Cricetulus griseus: one gene and its partner. The protein of the gene in region 2 purifies or fractionates together with the protein of the main gene of each other region. This does not show direct contact. Links are inferred from orthologs where the notes say so. Each region holds a gene or a part of one and is shown on either strand. Other genes may lie near its edges. The genes, in order: Mob1a and Pja2.

Region 1 (3,922 bases), on a different chromosome or scaffold from region 2:
GTGTGGCTAGCTGAGAATCTCCTCCCTCAGTCTCCTCCCTCCTCTCTTGAACCTAGATTTCTCTTCCTATTTATGCTTTCTGCCTGGCAGCCCCACCTATCTTTTCTCCTGTCTGGCAACTGGCCTTTCAGCTCTTTAATGGACCAATTAGGTGTTTTAGACAGGAAAATTAAAACAGCTTCACAGAGTTAAACAAATGCAACATAAAAGGATTAACACATTTTTGCATCATCAAACAAATGTTCCACAGCAGAAACAAATGTAACACATCTTCAACTAATATTCCACAACAAAATCTGATGCCCTCTTCTGGCATTCATGGGTACTGGATGCAGATGATACACATACATGCAGACAAAACACATACAAAAAGTAAAAAAATTTAAACTAGGCATAATGGTATACATCTTTAATCCCAACACTCTAGAGGGAGAGGCAGGCAGATCTCTGGGTTTGAGGCCAGCCTGATCTACATAGTGAATTCTAGGACAGGCAGAGCTACCTACATAATGAGACCCTGTCCCAAAGAAACAAAAGTAACTAAATCTTTTAAAAAATATAGTATGCTTCAAATGATGGCATCAAGACAGTTAAATAATCCAGAGGAAGAAACCATTTTTAAGTCATAGATGTGATAAGACACTCAAATATATGAAGAATTTTTACAACTCAAACCAAAAAGACAGATGGACATAAACACTGTACCATATATACACATATGGAAATGTCACAGTAAACCCAACTAATCTGTACAGTTAACAGGTGTTAACAAAATAAAAACAATCTGATATTAAAATAGGAAAAGGATACCAAAAGACTTTATTTATCCTCAAATAGCATGAAAATACACGCACAACGATGCTCAATATTACTGGTCATTTGGGAGAATGTAAACCAAGAGATTCTACTTTATACTCAAGAATAACAAGACAATTGACAAGACAGGTGTGAAGTGGAGAAGTTTGAAAACTCATACAGTGAGGTAGGGAAGTAACATGCAGTGCGGGGCTTTAAAAAGCTTGACAGTGCCTCAAAAGACTAACATGTAACAATTCACTCTTCATACCCGGGAGATATCACACACACACACACACCCAAAAACCTGTAACCAGATGTTCACAGCAGCGTTATTCAGAATAGCCAAAAAGTGCAAAACACTAATATTTCAGTCAGCTTAAGCTATAGTCACATTTACCTCACCTAGGTGAAGAGCTACCGTCCACAAGAAGTCAGGTTTTTCTCACGGACAAGCTCAACTACGCTGCCCATGATTGAGTGGTCAGCTCTACACCCAAGTACATACAGGCAACACTAACTGGACTCTGTGTGTTTACACACATATTAAAAATACAGACGAGAACATGAATTTTAAAGGAAAATGAGAGGGCACTGGAGAGAAGGGTGGATATGATGGAAAAACAACCGCATCTATGAAGTTCTCATAAACTAAAAACCTTTAAAAAGACAAAAAAAAAAAAAAAGATTCACATTTGGGGCAGACGTTAAAGCGTCCACATTCAAAAAAAAAAAAAAATCCCAGCACCCCGGAGGCAGAGACAGGTGGAGCTCTGAATCCCAGGCCAGCCCTGACTCCAAACGACCCCCGTTTAGAGCAGGCCGGTCCTGGTGGCCTCGGAAGGCTGGGGCGGGAGGCGCCCGCCAGGTTCGAGGCTGCCTGGGACACAGGAGGGGGAGAAAAGCCACATGATAACGAGGAGCCGGCGGCCAGCTTCTCAAACGTAAACCAGTGGAAAACCATGGAGTATGTGCACCCGTCTAGTCCCAGGGGCACCGCGCGTTTTCCGGCGCGAACCTCTTCCGACGCCGCAGGCCCGCCCTCCGCTCGGCACCCTCAGCCGGGCCCTCAGCAGCGGCCCCGCCGGCCGACACCAGCCCCCCCGCCCGGCCCGGCCGCCCGGCCCGGCCCGGCCCGCCCGCCCGGCCCACTCACAAGAGGAAGCTCATCCTCGCTAGCCCGAGGGGCCGCGGCCCCCGCCCCAGTCAGACTCGGCGCCGCCGCGGGCACCGGAATGCGGAGGGCGGTCCGCGGCTAAGCAGGGCCGCCGAAGCTTCACGGCCCGGGCGCGGGATGGGAGTCCAGCCGCCGCGAACCAGCACGGACCACGGAGCCCTCCGGAGATGCCTCCCACACTTCCGAGAGCCGAAATGCGGAACCGACGAGATCTCGCGAGACTAGGCTTCCTCCGCCCCGCCCCGCGGTGCCTCGCTCCGCCCCTTACTGAGCTCAGCCAATCAGTATTCGGTGGGCCCGGGAAGGCCCTGGGGGGGGGGGCCAGTTCCGCACTACGGTCAAGTATTCCGAGGCTGCGGGACGTCTGCCAGCGCCGCTCGGTGACTGTTGTGCTATTTAGGGCTTCATTCTTTTTCTGAAGGAATACTATTGCAGCCACATCATCTGTTGATGGACACTAGGGTGGTGTCTGCACGCGCATTACAATGCTGCTATGAGTGTTCATGTGCATGCTTTGCGCGCGTGAAGAGAATGTGGGCACCAGGTGACACCACGGTAGAAATAAAGGAGGAGAAAGAAAATTGTGGAGATAAATAAATGGTGGGACAGGATGCGCAGTGGCAAAGACCCAGTACTTTCCCCGCTCTAACTGCTGGTGGTTTTAAACCATTCGAATGTCCCCTGTCGCATTAATCGATTTTATTTTATCAACTGGTTTTCTTTTCTTTTTTCTTTCTTGTTGTTGCTCCTTTGTTGAGATAGGATATGACATAGCCCAAGATGCTTTAAAAGCTCAGTAAACAGCGGAGGATGACCTTGAATTCCTGATCCTCCTCCTCCCTCTGCCTCCAAGTGCAGGGATTACAGGCTTGAGCTGCCATGCTGGGCTCCATCTATTAACTTTTAAAAACATTGTTTACAAATTTGTATGTGTGTGTGTGTGTGTGTGTGTGTGTGTGTGTGTGTGTGTGTGTGTGTGAGTGTGTGTGTGTAAGAAAACATGTAGGAGTTGGACCATGCCGGCGAGTGGGGTCCAACCAGGTTATCAGGCTTGTTCTGTAAGCTTTCTCATTTTATTTTTGTTTTATTAACATCTATAACGTCTGCAGTTTTATTTGTATGTGATTTAAAATGTATCTCTTGATAAAGGTTTATGGTTCTTCCTTTCTTTTTCTGGTTCTTGAGACAGAGTTTCACTATGTAGTCCTACTGTCCTGGTACTCACTACATAGACCAGGATGTCCCCCAAACTCACAGAGATCTGCCGGCCTCTGCCTCTCTGCATTCTATTTATTCATTTTTTAATTATAATCTTTCCTCTTTTTTTCAATACAAGAGATTCTCTTTGTAGCCCTGACTATCTTGGAACTCAATCTGTAGACCAGACTAGCCTCAAACTCAGAGATCCAACTGCCTCTGCCTTCTGAGTGCAAGCTCCAGGACAACCAGGACTACATAGACCACCTCTCTCTCTCTCTCTCTCTCTCTATATATATATATATATATATATATGTGTGTGTGTGTGTGTGTGTGTATGTATGTATGTATATATGTGTGTGTATGTATGTGTATATGTATATGTATTTATATATACATAATATATATATATATATATATATATATGACTTGAGATACTGGAGAGATGGCTTAATAATTAAGAGTACTTGTTGCTCCTGTGTGTAGTTCTTGAGTTCAGTTCCCAGAATTCACAACTGTCTCTACCTCCAGTTCCAGAGGATCTAACACCCTTTTCTAACCTCTGCAGGCACCAGGCATCTATGTACACTGGCAAAACACTTACAAGATAAAGATAAATCCTCATTTAAAAAGAAAAAAAAATTAGTCGGTGGTGGCATATGCCTTTAATCCCAGTACTCGAGAGGCAGAGGCAAGCCAATCTCTGTGAGTTTCAGGCCAGCCTGGTCCACAGAGGTGGTTCCAGGATAGCTA
Region 2 (3,822 bases):
TTGCTGCCATACCTATTTACTTCAGATTGCAGAACTAGTTATTATCTCATGAGCTGTTTCTAAAGGGTTTCTTTTCCTGATATTATTGATCTCATGTAAGAGCTCTTAAGTTGGAATTGTGACCATTCATCCAAAAAGTGCAGTTATAAAGAGCAAGTAGATGATTATTAAAACAGGACATAGCTTTACTTGTGATAGGTTAGGCTTTCTGCAGGTGGTGTGTGTGTGTGTGTGTGTGTGTGTGTGTGTGTGTGTGTGTGTGTGTGTGTACGAATGCCATGTACTGGTGAGACATGGGTATTTGACTTAATGATCGTGGTGGTGGGTCTTTCGGAAGGGAGCTAAAGGGACAAAAGAGTAACAGAAAAAGAATACGAGAATATGATAAATGTAATTTGATGAGACAGCTTAAAAATAGTTCCCATTACTATTTTAAAGAATCTCCTAACAAAGAGCTATACTTTTCTTTTTCAGACTGCACTGGCACACTTAGAGTCTCTTGCAGTGGATGTTGAGGTGGCTAATCCACCAGCTAGTAAGGAAAGCATCGACGGGCTTCCAGAAACGCTTGTTCTAGAAGATCATACTGGTAAGGCAGGTCAACATTCTCAAGTCTGGGATACCATATTGTGTGCTTTGATGTATTATTGGGGCAACTCAGTGACCAAGTAGTTGATCATTACGTTTTTATAAGAAGCTGACAAACTTCCACCTAGTAGAAAATGCTTAATAAAATATATAGAGACCAAATGTTTACCCGGTCAACTTTTTAAAGAAGTAATGTTTATGACATTCTAAATTAGCATGCTAGAATATGCTTGCCAGTTACTTGATAAAACTGCCTCTTCCATCTTCATAGCCATCACAGTGATTAGTTTTGTTAGCCCTGAACTTCACCTTACGGCTTGATGGATGCGCGTTGTTTGTGTTCTCAGCTATTGGTCAGGAGCAGTGCTGTCCAATCTGCTGCAGTGAGTACATCAAGGACGACATAGCCACAGAGCTGCCCTGCCACCATTTCTTCCATAAGCCTTGTGTCTCCATCTGGCTTCAGAAGGTGAGCTTTAGATGTACTTCCTTAAAATTAACATTTATATAGCTTCTTCTACAAGTAATAATTGTACATTAAGCATATAGTCATAGTATTTCACATTAAAGACTGGCTTCTTTTGTAGAAATTTAGACAACAGTAACTATTTAATATATTTTCATTCATAGCTCTGAAACTGCTTTCAAAAGTATCTCAAAAGATTCTTTTACATCAACCAAAGTACACTGTAATAATAAGAAAGTGTTCTACAAGTGTGCATGGGTGTTGCTGAAAATGTATGAGGAAAGTACAACCAAGCAAATAACCCCTCTCCTGCTTTTTATGTGCCTACGTTAAAGACGTACCAATCATTTGAAGTGTATTTGAGTTACTTTGGAACTAGAGTTTATTTACATCCCATGATCTCTGTTGGCACATGAAGATACTTATCGTCTAGCTCAGTAGAAACCTCTACGTCCTTTCTTGGCATTTTTCTTGTGGTTATAGCTCCCTCTTCTCTATAAACACTCCTACCCAGTCCCCTCTTCTTAGCTCTTTCTCTCCTTTTTTCCTGCTTTATTCTTCACTGTCACTTTATCCTCTTAAAACTGCATTGAAAATCTCTGAGCACTAATGTAGAGATGTTCACTATTCCTTTACAAAGTCTGAAGAATCATTGTTGCTTTTGCCTCCTGTGTTGTGGTTAAGTGTATACTTACTTTCTCATTTGCTAAAGTCTTTATTATTCCTCTGAATCCCTCAGCTGCTGCTTTGCCCTACCTCCAGTAACCAATACTCCTACTTACAGTGGGCAGATTTACATGTTCCCCAGTTGCTGACATTTGTGGGATTGTTTTTTTGCTTTTATTCTCCCACAAAAGGATTCCACAGTCTTTTTTAATACATAATTTTAAAAATTTATTCCTGAGTACTTTTTCTCTGTACAAACTTTAAAATCATTTTACTTATTTGTTTTTCTCTCCCAAAATAATTTGTTTTGGCTGAAATTTATTATTGTGATGGCATTAAATTTATACATTCTGCTGTAGACTTGCTCTGAAATACTTTTAGAGTTGGATTAATGAAACACAAAAATATCCATGAAATGCAGTGTTCTTTTGAGTTGAAGTTGAGAGTTTTATCCCTATTAGTGCTGGCTTTTTCTTTTTAATTTTAAGGTTTTTTAAAACATCCATTGTTTTGGAGATGTGTATATCACACCATGTTGTGAAAACTAGTTTGATATACTAGGAAGCAACCAGGGCCTAGTAAATGTTAAAACATAAATTACATCAATCCTATTAGTAAAAATTAGAGATGGCTTGTTAATAATGAAATGGCAAAAAGAAGCTTAATTTATGGTACAAATTGCAAAGACCTGCCAGCAGACTTCAGTAAACTACATATTAACAAAATGATTGCTAATCAATTAGTGCAAATAATGGGTGTTTGAAGTCTCTTGAGACTTCTGGCATTCCAGGTATTTTGTTTTGTTTTTTTTCTTTAACTGCTTATTTGGCATTGTGTTGATTATAGTATAGATGGCTATATCAAACAATATAATCTGTCTACCTTGAATATAAAGTTGAAATAGTCCATATTGAATTTAACTAATTACCTATAAACAAATAACTGGTATAGTGAGTTAGCAGAAGTTAAGTTAGCATTAAGTAGGAAAGAACGTGTAATCCCTGTGCATGATGGCAGAGGCGATGCAAGAGAGAAGGCATCTCTGAAGTTAGCAGGGAAGCCATGTATGCACCCAAGCTTGTGGTTCATGTCCACTCCTGAAAATCAGGCCAGCCACTTTTACTTCCTTGTCCGTGGTAGTTGCCTACTTTATTCCTCATCTTCATTGTAGGTGTTATCTGAACTGTAGCTCTGCTCATGTTACTTTGCTTGCCCTAATGGGAGAGATTAGGTTGGTTTTCCTTCACTTGCAGAAGAGTGGATTTCTGTCTTGGCTTTCAAGGCTTTCTGTGCTCTAGCCCCCAAGCTGTCTGTTCAGATTTGTTATTCTGTACACTTGGTCATGCTTCTGTACATTTGTTCCTGAAGGCTGACTTCCCTCCGTCCCATCTGTAAGATGAGGTGGTGTAAGTAGAAAAGCTGAGACCTCACCTTTTCTGTCTTGGATACAACGAGCTTTCTTTACACTCTCACTTAGTTACAGAGATTTAAGAAGGACACAGTGTTGTGTCCTCTCGGTTTCAGAAACCAGTAGACGATTCCCCTGTGTTTGCCCACTTTGTCCGCACAAAGGACTGGAAAATGTCATGGTGTTCTAGTCCCTAGACCAGTGATTGTTACCTGGGTTAAGATGATATAGCTGGTCCCGTCCAGGCTAAAACTGCACTCACTTGTATGACAGTGCTGATAGAGGCCATTCATTGTGGCAAGTACATCGTCAGTGTGCTTGGCTTTGCTGTAGCACAGGATAACAACCTAATTTTTGTCCTCTGAGGAAAGAAATTAGTATAAAGCCTCCCCTGGGAAAAAGGTTCCCAAAATGAAATTCTTTGTCACCTTCAACAGCATGGTAGCTTCGCTGCCCTTCCTTCTATCAGAGAGATGCATTTGGGAAAGGCCAGACTTGCAAGGACATGATGTGTCTTCTGTGAGGTGACAGGTCTCTGGGCTTCCATTGGTTTTAAAGCTGTTCTCTTCCCATCTTCTGTCCCAGGTCTGTGGTTAGTTTGTGTTGTTACTTAGAAGGCACATAATTGTCTCTTTTTAGAAAGGGGTTACCTGGCTAATAAAGTAAGGTCTGAAGTCAGTCTGGTTGATCACAT

What was found.
Region 1: the proteins of Pja2 (region 2) and Mob1a purify together in Homo sapiens (affinity purification with western blotting; 3 studies listed by BioGRID). This does not show direct contact. The link is inferred for Cricetulus griseus from reciprocal best matches to the Homo sapiens genes PJA2 and MOB1A.

The regions. Positions count from the first base shown.
Region 1 is NC_048601.1:74,788,484-74,792,405, forward strand, and holds the start of Mob1a (MOB kinase activator 1A), read right to left. Parts: upstream 2,173-3,922; 5' UTR 1,966-2,172; coding exon 1,952-1,965; intron 1-1,951. UniProt on the Homo sapiens protein: Activator of LATS1/2 in the Hippo signaling pathway which plays a pivotal role in organ size control and tumor suppression by restricting proliferation and promoting apoptosis.
Region 2 is NC_048595.1:453,414,859-453,418,680, reverse strand, and holds part of Pja2 (E3 ubiquitin-protein ligase Praja-2), read left to right. Parts: intron 1-474; coding exon 475-589; intron 590-935; coding exon 936-1,057; intron 1,058-3,822.